Linked DNA regions of Drosophila melanogaster. The protein of the gene in region 1 purifies or fractionates together with the protein of each later gene. This does not show direct contact. Each region holds a gene or a part of one and is shown on either strand. Other genes may lie near its edges. The genes, in order: MME1 and Obp56h.

Region 1 (4,181 bases):
CGACTGTTGGCGCAGGAGGGCGGCGGACACTGATCCGCCCACAACAGGTGACCAGCTCTGCTGCGGATTGGGCGACGACTGGGGCGGCGCCTGAGCTTGCATCCCAACACCGCCCAGTCCCGATCCTCCGCCTCCGTACGGCGGCAACCGTTGATTGAAATGCTGCGACGGCTGCTGCTGCTGTTGCTGCTGATGCTGATGCTGATGTTGCGGGTTATGCGGATAGTAGTAGTTAAGGCCAGGCTGATTGTGCAGTCCCGGGAAGTAGCTGTTGTAGTTATTATACATCGGCGTCACTTGGGACATTTTCGGTGCCGAACTCGAGCGGTGCATTCCGCCTCCTGGATGGCTACTATTGTTGTTGATGACGTTGTTGTTGCTGATCGCAGAGGGGGGAGTGACAGGCGGCGCCGCGGACGAAACAGCCACACTGCTGCTATTGACAGCTGGCGTGATGGGAGTGGCCCTAAAAAAACAACGAATATGTGCATATGTCTGATTAAATGTGGGTTTCTGTTTAGATATCTCTATAAATTAGACCAAATCATAAAGAAATATTCTAGTATCAAGAAAATATTTATAACAAAGTAAATTATATATATAAACATTGGTCAGTCTTCAACTTCTGAGTGAAATTTTAAGATTAACTTGGATATCGGCAAGATCCTGGTAGGTCATTTGGCTCCACCTATTAGTGTTGCGATGGTAAATATTGGTCAAACATAAAAGTTATGCTTTCTTAGTACCAAAATAAATCAAATAAAGTAAATTTGGAAACTAAATCAACTTGTTATTGCAACATACGGTTTGTCATCCTCCGGGTTTTTGGCAGCGCCCAGGATGCGCAGCCTGGCCTCGGCGTACTCCTGTTCTCGCTGCTTGAGCGTCTTGATGGGCTGCTTCGGTCGCATTCCGTTAATGTCCCGCCGCTCCTCCGCCTGGGCGGGCCGCCGCAGTATCTTGACGGTCTGGTTGCTGGTGGGCGTGCAATAGGTGGCCGCATCGTAGTCATTGGTCGTCTTGTGCAGCACCATCATGACGGGCTGCTGCTGTTGCTCCTGCTGGGTAGATGAGTCAACCTCTGCTGGCGGTACTTGGGGCTTCCGGGCAATGGTGATCTGCCGTGGCGGGGGATTCCCGCCCCCGTTTCCACCACCGCCGCCACCATCGCCGCTGCTCAGGATTTGTGAGGACTCCTGTACGCTCTGCGGCCGTTGGAGCAATTTCATTTTGTTGACAGGTGGGTCGCTCGTCTGCAGCTTTGTTTGCAGAGTCATAGAGAGCTGGGCAAGAAAAAATAAAAAAAAAGGGGGGGGGGTGTTCCATTGGTTATCAGGTATGATGCTCAATCACATCGCGTGGCGCACTCACCCCATCCTCGTCGATTTCCTCCCAGTTGTCTAACACATCCTCGCCATGGGACATCGTTCGACAAAGCACGTTGCTCGACTGCTGCTAGAATATATACTTCGGGTTTCGGTTGCGTTTTCGCTCACTTTCTTCTCTTGCGCCTGCTGCTGCAGCTCGCACTCTTACTGATACATGATTCCTTCGCACTTTTATCAGACATAAGTTATGCGTATGTTGGCAAGCACACTTTTTTCACGAAATTCGCACCCAAGAACCCTACTGAAAAAACAAAAAACAATACGCAACAATTTGGCCTGCTGCTAATGTCGTTCTCGTTGTTGTTGTTGTTGCTTTCCGTGGGCTAGTCTTCTTCTTGCTTATCAGGTCACAGCAAAAGTGACAGGTTTTGTTCGTTTGCACGGGAACTGGAAAAGTGGTTGCACTTTACTGGCCCAACCAGCACTGCGCCAGAAGATACTTGGCCCACCCACCTTTGATAGCCACACTTGTTAACCATTTATTTTTAACGCTTTATTAATAAAAGAAGTGTGTGGCCGCCGCCCGCGTTTCCCTGCGAATGTCGATGGAAATTTGGAATCGCAGAATGTCCGATAGACTGTGTAATCGAACGGGAAATTTAAAATTTGTTTTGCATGTAATTTTCTAACAATTTATTTTATTTATAATGACAATGTCGTGCAGAGCAAACTTTAAGTTATAAAGCTTGAAACGCTAAAAAGAAGAATGAACATTCTGTTTAATATTTCGATTGACCATGTCATACTAATGACTGCAATCGATAGCTGAATGTTAAGCCAATGTTAGGTGTATGTTTTGTTAACATGATAAGCAAATCAGCTGTTCCCTCTGCAATTTTGGAACAGCTAATGAAATATTTGAAATAGATAAGAGGCACTATTGATCATGGAAATTATAATACCGCGCTATTCGGAATCACACAGCATTATCATAGGTCAGCAACCGCGCAGCAAGCAGATCACCAAGCGATAGCGTTCATCAGGAAGCCAGCGATCTTCAAGCACGTGCATTTCGTTCAGAAGCTGACGGAATTTCTCGGCGTGTTTACGTAAATAGTTAAAATTCAGCAATGGAGGAGGTCGAAATCAGCACAGAAAAGAAATCCAATCCCGTAAAGTCATTTATTGCGGGCGGCGTGGGAGGCATGTGCAATGTGCTCGTTGGCCATCCATTGGACACAATAAAGGTGAGCTTCAAAACTGTGTTTACAAATGGAAACGATGTAATGCTTTAAGTTCCACTTTAGGTCCGTCTCCAAACCATGCCCACACCTCCACCTGGACAGCCGCCGAGATACAAGGGAGTCATAGATTGTGCCGCCAGGACATTTCGTTATGAGGGTTTTCGCGGATTCTACAGAGGAATATCCGCTCCACTTGTGGGAGTAACACCCATCTATGCCGTGGACTTTGCCGTCTATGCGGCGGGTAAACGATTGTTCCAAACGGATGACCACATTAGGCTCACCTACCCACAAATCTTCGCCGCGGGAGCCTTGGCCGGAGTTTGTTCTGCCCTCGTCACAGTGCCCACCGATCGTATAAAAGTCCTTCTGCAGACGCAAACCGTGTCCAACGGACCTCTGCTCTACAATGGAACCATTGACACGGCCGCCAAGCTATATAGGCAGGGTGGCATTCGGAGCCTCTTCAAGGGAACATGCGCGTGCATTCTGAGAGGTCAGTTGTTAATTAATTGCTTAATATTATAGTATATATAATAGTTATGGATAATTTTAAAATTTACAGACTCGCCCACCGGTTTTTACTTTGTGACCTACGAATTCCTACAGGAATTGGCTAGAAAGAAGTCCGCCAATGGAAAGATTAGCACCACATCAACTATTCTGTCCGGCGGAACGGCGGGCATTGTGTTTTGGACTTTGGCCGTGCCGTTCGATGTACTTAAAAGCCGTCTCCAGTCGGGTGAGTCATCCAATCGCCAATCGCTTTAGTTACAATGATTTATAAATGCCATATTTTTAGCACCTGAGGGAACATACAAGCACGGCATTCGCAGCGTTTTTAGAAACCTCATGGCCACAGAAGGCCCAAAAGCTCTATTTCGCGGTATCCTGCCAATTCTACTTCGTGCCTTTCCCTCCACCGCAGCAGTTTTCTTCGGCGTGGAGCTAACCAATGATTTGCTGAAGGCTTAAATTTAAGAATTTGTATTTCAGAGAGGCTGTTTAGAATATTAAATATTGTTTACATATGCGGTTGAGTTTGCTTTATTTGGATTTCTGATATTCTATAAACAAAATGTTTGAAATATTAGCTATGCGCAGTAACCGAGGGATATTAATGGATTTTTAAATATAACGCCAATAATTGGTATCCGATTTTAAAAGTTAAATATATTTTACTTTACATGCTAAAGTATCTTTACGGTTTAGCTTGGCTTACATTTAAAATATACTTTACTTTACATGCAAAAGTATCTTTACGTTTAAGCTTAGTTTCGATTCATTCCAATTGGATGTGCAATCGAAAGCTTTTAAGCGGAACGAACAGATCGACAATATTAGAATTGGAAGTGCAGCGAGATAAGTACTACTGCTTTTAATCAGAAAACTACTTGCGGAGAAAGTTGGACGCTGGCGGGTCGCGCGTTTACTCCTATTTCGTTCAATTCGAATCGATACCTTTAAAAACACACCGGCTTCTGTGCGAAAAACATTTTGGTGTTTCCTTGAATATAATACGTTTCCTGAAAGAGACGTTGAAAAAAAACACTTGGAAAAACGGCGATAGTTTTTCAAAACTATTATACGCCCTGTATTTGAATGATCT
Region 2 (3,444 bases), on another chromosome or scaffold:
ATTAAGCGCAGCTCATATGTTACCCGAAAGGTACGTACATATGGGTATATATATATTGTAAATGGAGGCAGAGGCGGGAGAGTCTCACACGTGAAATGATTTATTAGCGGTAATTGGTGTCACAGTGTTCCAAAGAAAAGGAAAGGATTCTCATCCCCACATCCCGCATTCCATCCGCCGTCTTCTCGGTTGCCTGGCACCCCCTTGTTTCGAAGTTCTCTTTTAATTATCTTGATTTTAAACTTATTAAAATTGACAAATGATTTTCGTAGACAACATTGCGTTGGCTCGAAGGAAACAGGTTGTCAATGACGGCTTCCCAGAATCTCGAGAGTTGAGTTCTTTAACTCTGCCTTTTCCGTATTTCTGGTAGTTGTTAGCTTATCATTCTGGGCTACCCGAGCGATTTCTTTTGAACTGGGTTTTGGGCTCAATGTGACGCACCTATGTAGTTGGATTGGAATTCCGATTAGATTATGATAGGTAGTATCTTGAAATAAATAAAACTCCTGTATGATTGCATTATTTAGCATTAATAGGATTTTGCGATTTTAATGATAACTATATAGGCTTTGATAGTTATTCCTGTTATTATCCCTGCAAATAATCTTTGATTTGGTAAAACTTGAACAAGTTTATTTTACAAAATGCAACTAAGCCAACTAGGACGAACAGGATCAGGCATTAGTGATGTCCTGGAATGGCCTTGTGCTCCTTCAGGCACATGGTAACCTTAAAGGCCGTGTCGCAATCGTTGGTTCCCTTGATGTCCTTGCAGGCATTCACTCCCGAGGAAATCTCGTCCATTTTGTCCTTGATCTGAGGCACATTTTTGAGAGTGTCGAGCATAGCCTGAGCATTGAACTGGCCATTGGTGAGATGACCCTGCTTCTCCATCAGGCACTTGGTGTAGCACTTGAGGTTCTCCTTGGCACTGCTCTGCATCCCGCTGGCCATGAACTCCTTGAGATCAGCCTCGGTCACTTGGTTGGTCTCCATGCACTGTTGCATTATTTGGCGAAAGTCCGGATTACACTACGAAAAGCAAATTCATGGTTTAAAAACAAATGTACACAGTGCGTGCATATTTCACCTGTCCCATGGACAAAAAAGCTGCCAGAGCAATACAGAATAGGGTGAACTTCATTTTGAGGTATATATTTGTTAAAGCTGTTCCGGGTTTACTCGAAAATTTCGACTGTTGGTCATTTGATTGAAACTTGCGGCTTTTATACCAGATCAGTCTGAATCAGAATCAGAGGGAATGCAATTAAGGCAATTAAACTTTTTGCGAGATGAATCGAAATTTGATTACGCACAATACGGACAATTACTACACAACAAATTTCCCTTTTTCGATTGTAATTATATTCCATTATCAGTCCATTTGCCATATTCGATGGCCAGGCTGGACAGAAACTTGCTACACAAATCAGCAAAGTTAGTCGCAATTAGTTGCCGGCCCCCCACAACAAATCAATTATTCATTTATTGTATTTAGATGCGGTCAGAGTTTGACAATTTTTGGCCTTTGTTTGAGCCATTCACACTCGCCCAATTGATTTGCATACCATTTGTTCTGGCCTTTCTGCCAATTGCCGAATCCCCAATTGATATTTCAGAAGGCATTTAATCTCACATAATCACAGCAATATATCAGAGAATTCTGCCATCGGACGAGAGTTGGCGCTGAATAATTTACCAAATTAGCACAGCTCTAGCAAACAATTTGTAGCAAAACGATAATCATGAACTCCACCATTTGTGAATCATTAAAGTTATTAAAAATTCAGTTTTATTAGTACTGTGCTTAAAATGTTCCCTTATCAGATAAGGTTGTCATTGCGAATTGCATTTAATTTCCTTCGCTCTATTTTACACTTATTTAAAGTGCCAGCTAGTTATTGCTTAATGACAATTTACTTACAACAGATATGTAATTATAAAGTCTCATTAGTCGAAAACGTGAATTTAATTACACCATAAATTAAAAAAAAAAAACAACTTATAAAATTAGTAGCGTGTGTCACAAAGTGTAATACTTTGTATAGCATTCTTTTATAGTGCCAGAAGCAATTTATTTCAATCTGACAGCTATCAATATCTAAAAAGGTGATCTCATATATCTACCTATTCATCTGCAGACGTTTTTAATCGAAGTTACAGATTGCTTAAGTCTACTGTGCATATCCATAACAATTAAACATCCATCAGTCCCCTACTCCATGTATGATACTACAAACATTTGTCGGCCGAGTGGGAGAGCGTTGGGTATATATAGAGATATAAAATAACTTGCATAATTCCTGGGGAAATTCAAATCAATAGACAAACAATAAGCTCGAGTTCGCAGGCCAACTGCCATTTACAGGAGGGCTGTGGAAGCCATGTTGACAGCACAAATAATTTATGCCTTTGTTATGGAGAGAAGAGCACCTGCCCAAGTCGAAAAAGGAGCCTGTTCAGTTCCGTTCTATGCCTGGTCACGCCCACTTTGGCCCTGTGCCCCTCGATGTAAGTTGGATTTTCGTTTTTCGCCAAGAAACAAAAAGAGGAGTCCATGGTCGAAAGGACGACGCTACCAAGTCGAAGCAAAGTGGTTGACAAAAGGCCGAGCGGTTGGAAAAGCGGAGAGGATTCGACTACCACTGCTTGTCATTAGTCAGGCAGGATAAGCAAAAGGACATGGCCATAAAAAGGGCAATGCGATGGCGCCCGAACAGGGACACTTGCTCAGACACAAGGTGTGTCTCTGTGTTCTCTGAATGAATTGCTGAGTAACCAGTAATGAAGTAAAACTGTTCAAGTCCTGAATGTGTCATTGTGGCACGGGCCAAGCTGGGGAGACGACAACCGAACACAATTCACTGTCAGTTGCATTGTTTTGACCTGATTTACATGCCCCAGCCATCCAGCCAGCCAGCTCAACTGATATTAGGAATAGCCGAAGACCGTTCGGTGGACTTTTATAAATTACAAAGGCCACCGCACAAAAGGCGATAGATGCAGGATGCCAGGATGGCTCGGATCCAGCTGTCTGTCTCCTTCTCTCTATATATCCTTTCCCACTTTTCCTGGCTTTCCTCCTGCCTTTCCGGCCAGCAGACGACAACGATGACAGGACGAAACAAAGGCCAACGTTAATAAGCCAAGAGAATGGCGCTAGCCGTAGCAAACGTGGCTAAATAAAGAGCGGGGCAAATTGTAAGAAAGCAGAACTGTGTCACAATGTTTTGACAGGAGTTGGGGAAGAAGTCCTGAGGTCCTGCCCGAGCAGCTAGAGAAATGGAACAGGACAACACAGGACAACTCAGCTAGTTAAGCGGCCAAAGACAAAGTTGATAAAATTAGATTTGTATGGTAAATAGTTTGTGGGATGGCTGCCGACTGGCGAATGGCGAATGGTGGGGCAAAGTTTAATAAATGTATAAAATTAATTAGCCA

Evidence for each region.
Region 2: the proteins of MME1 (region 1) and Obp56h purify together in Drosophila melanogaster (affinity purification with mass spectrometry, with the first as the bait; one large-scale study listed by BioGRID). This does not show direct contact.

What each region holds. Positions count from the first base shown.
Region 1 is NT_033779.5:7,025,353-7,029,533, forward strand, and holds MME1 (mitochondrial magnesium exporter 1), read left to right. Parts: upstream 1-2,173; 5' UTR 2,174-2,458; coding exon 2,459-2,575; intron 2,576-2,635; coding exon 2,636-3,068; intron 3,069-3,137; coding exon 3,138-3,314; intron 3,315-3,374; coding exon 3,375-3,547; 3' UTR 3,548-3,607; downstream 3,608-4,181. Other genes in the region: CG31908 (uncharacterized protein), read right to left, coding at 1-466, 805-1,283, 1,372-1,425. UniProt on the Drosophila melanogaster protein: Mediates efflux of magnesium ions from mitochondria, suggesting a role in magnesium homeostasis.
Region 2 is NT_033778.4:19,813,280-19,816,723, reverse strand, and holds Obp56h (Odorant-binding protein 56h), read right to left. Parts: upstream 1,171-3,444; 5' UTR 1,148-1,170; coding exon 1,094-1,147; intron 1,036-1,093; coding exon 685-1,035; 3' UTR 520-684; downstream 1-519.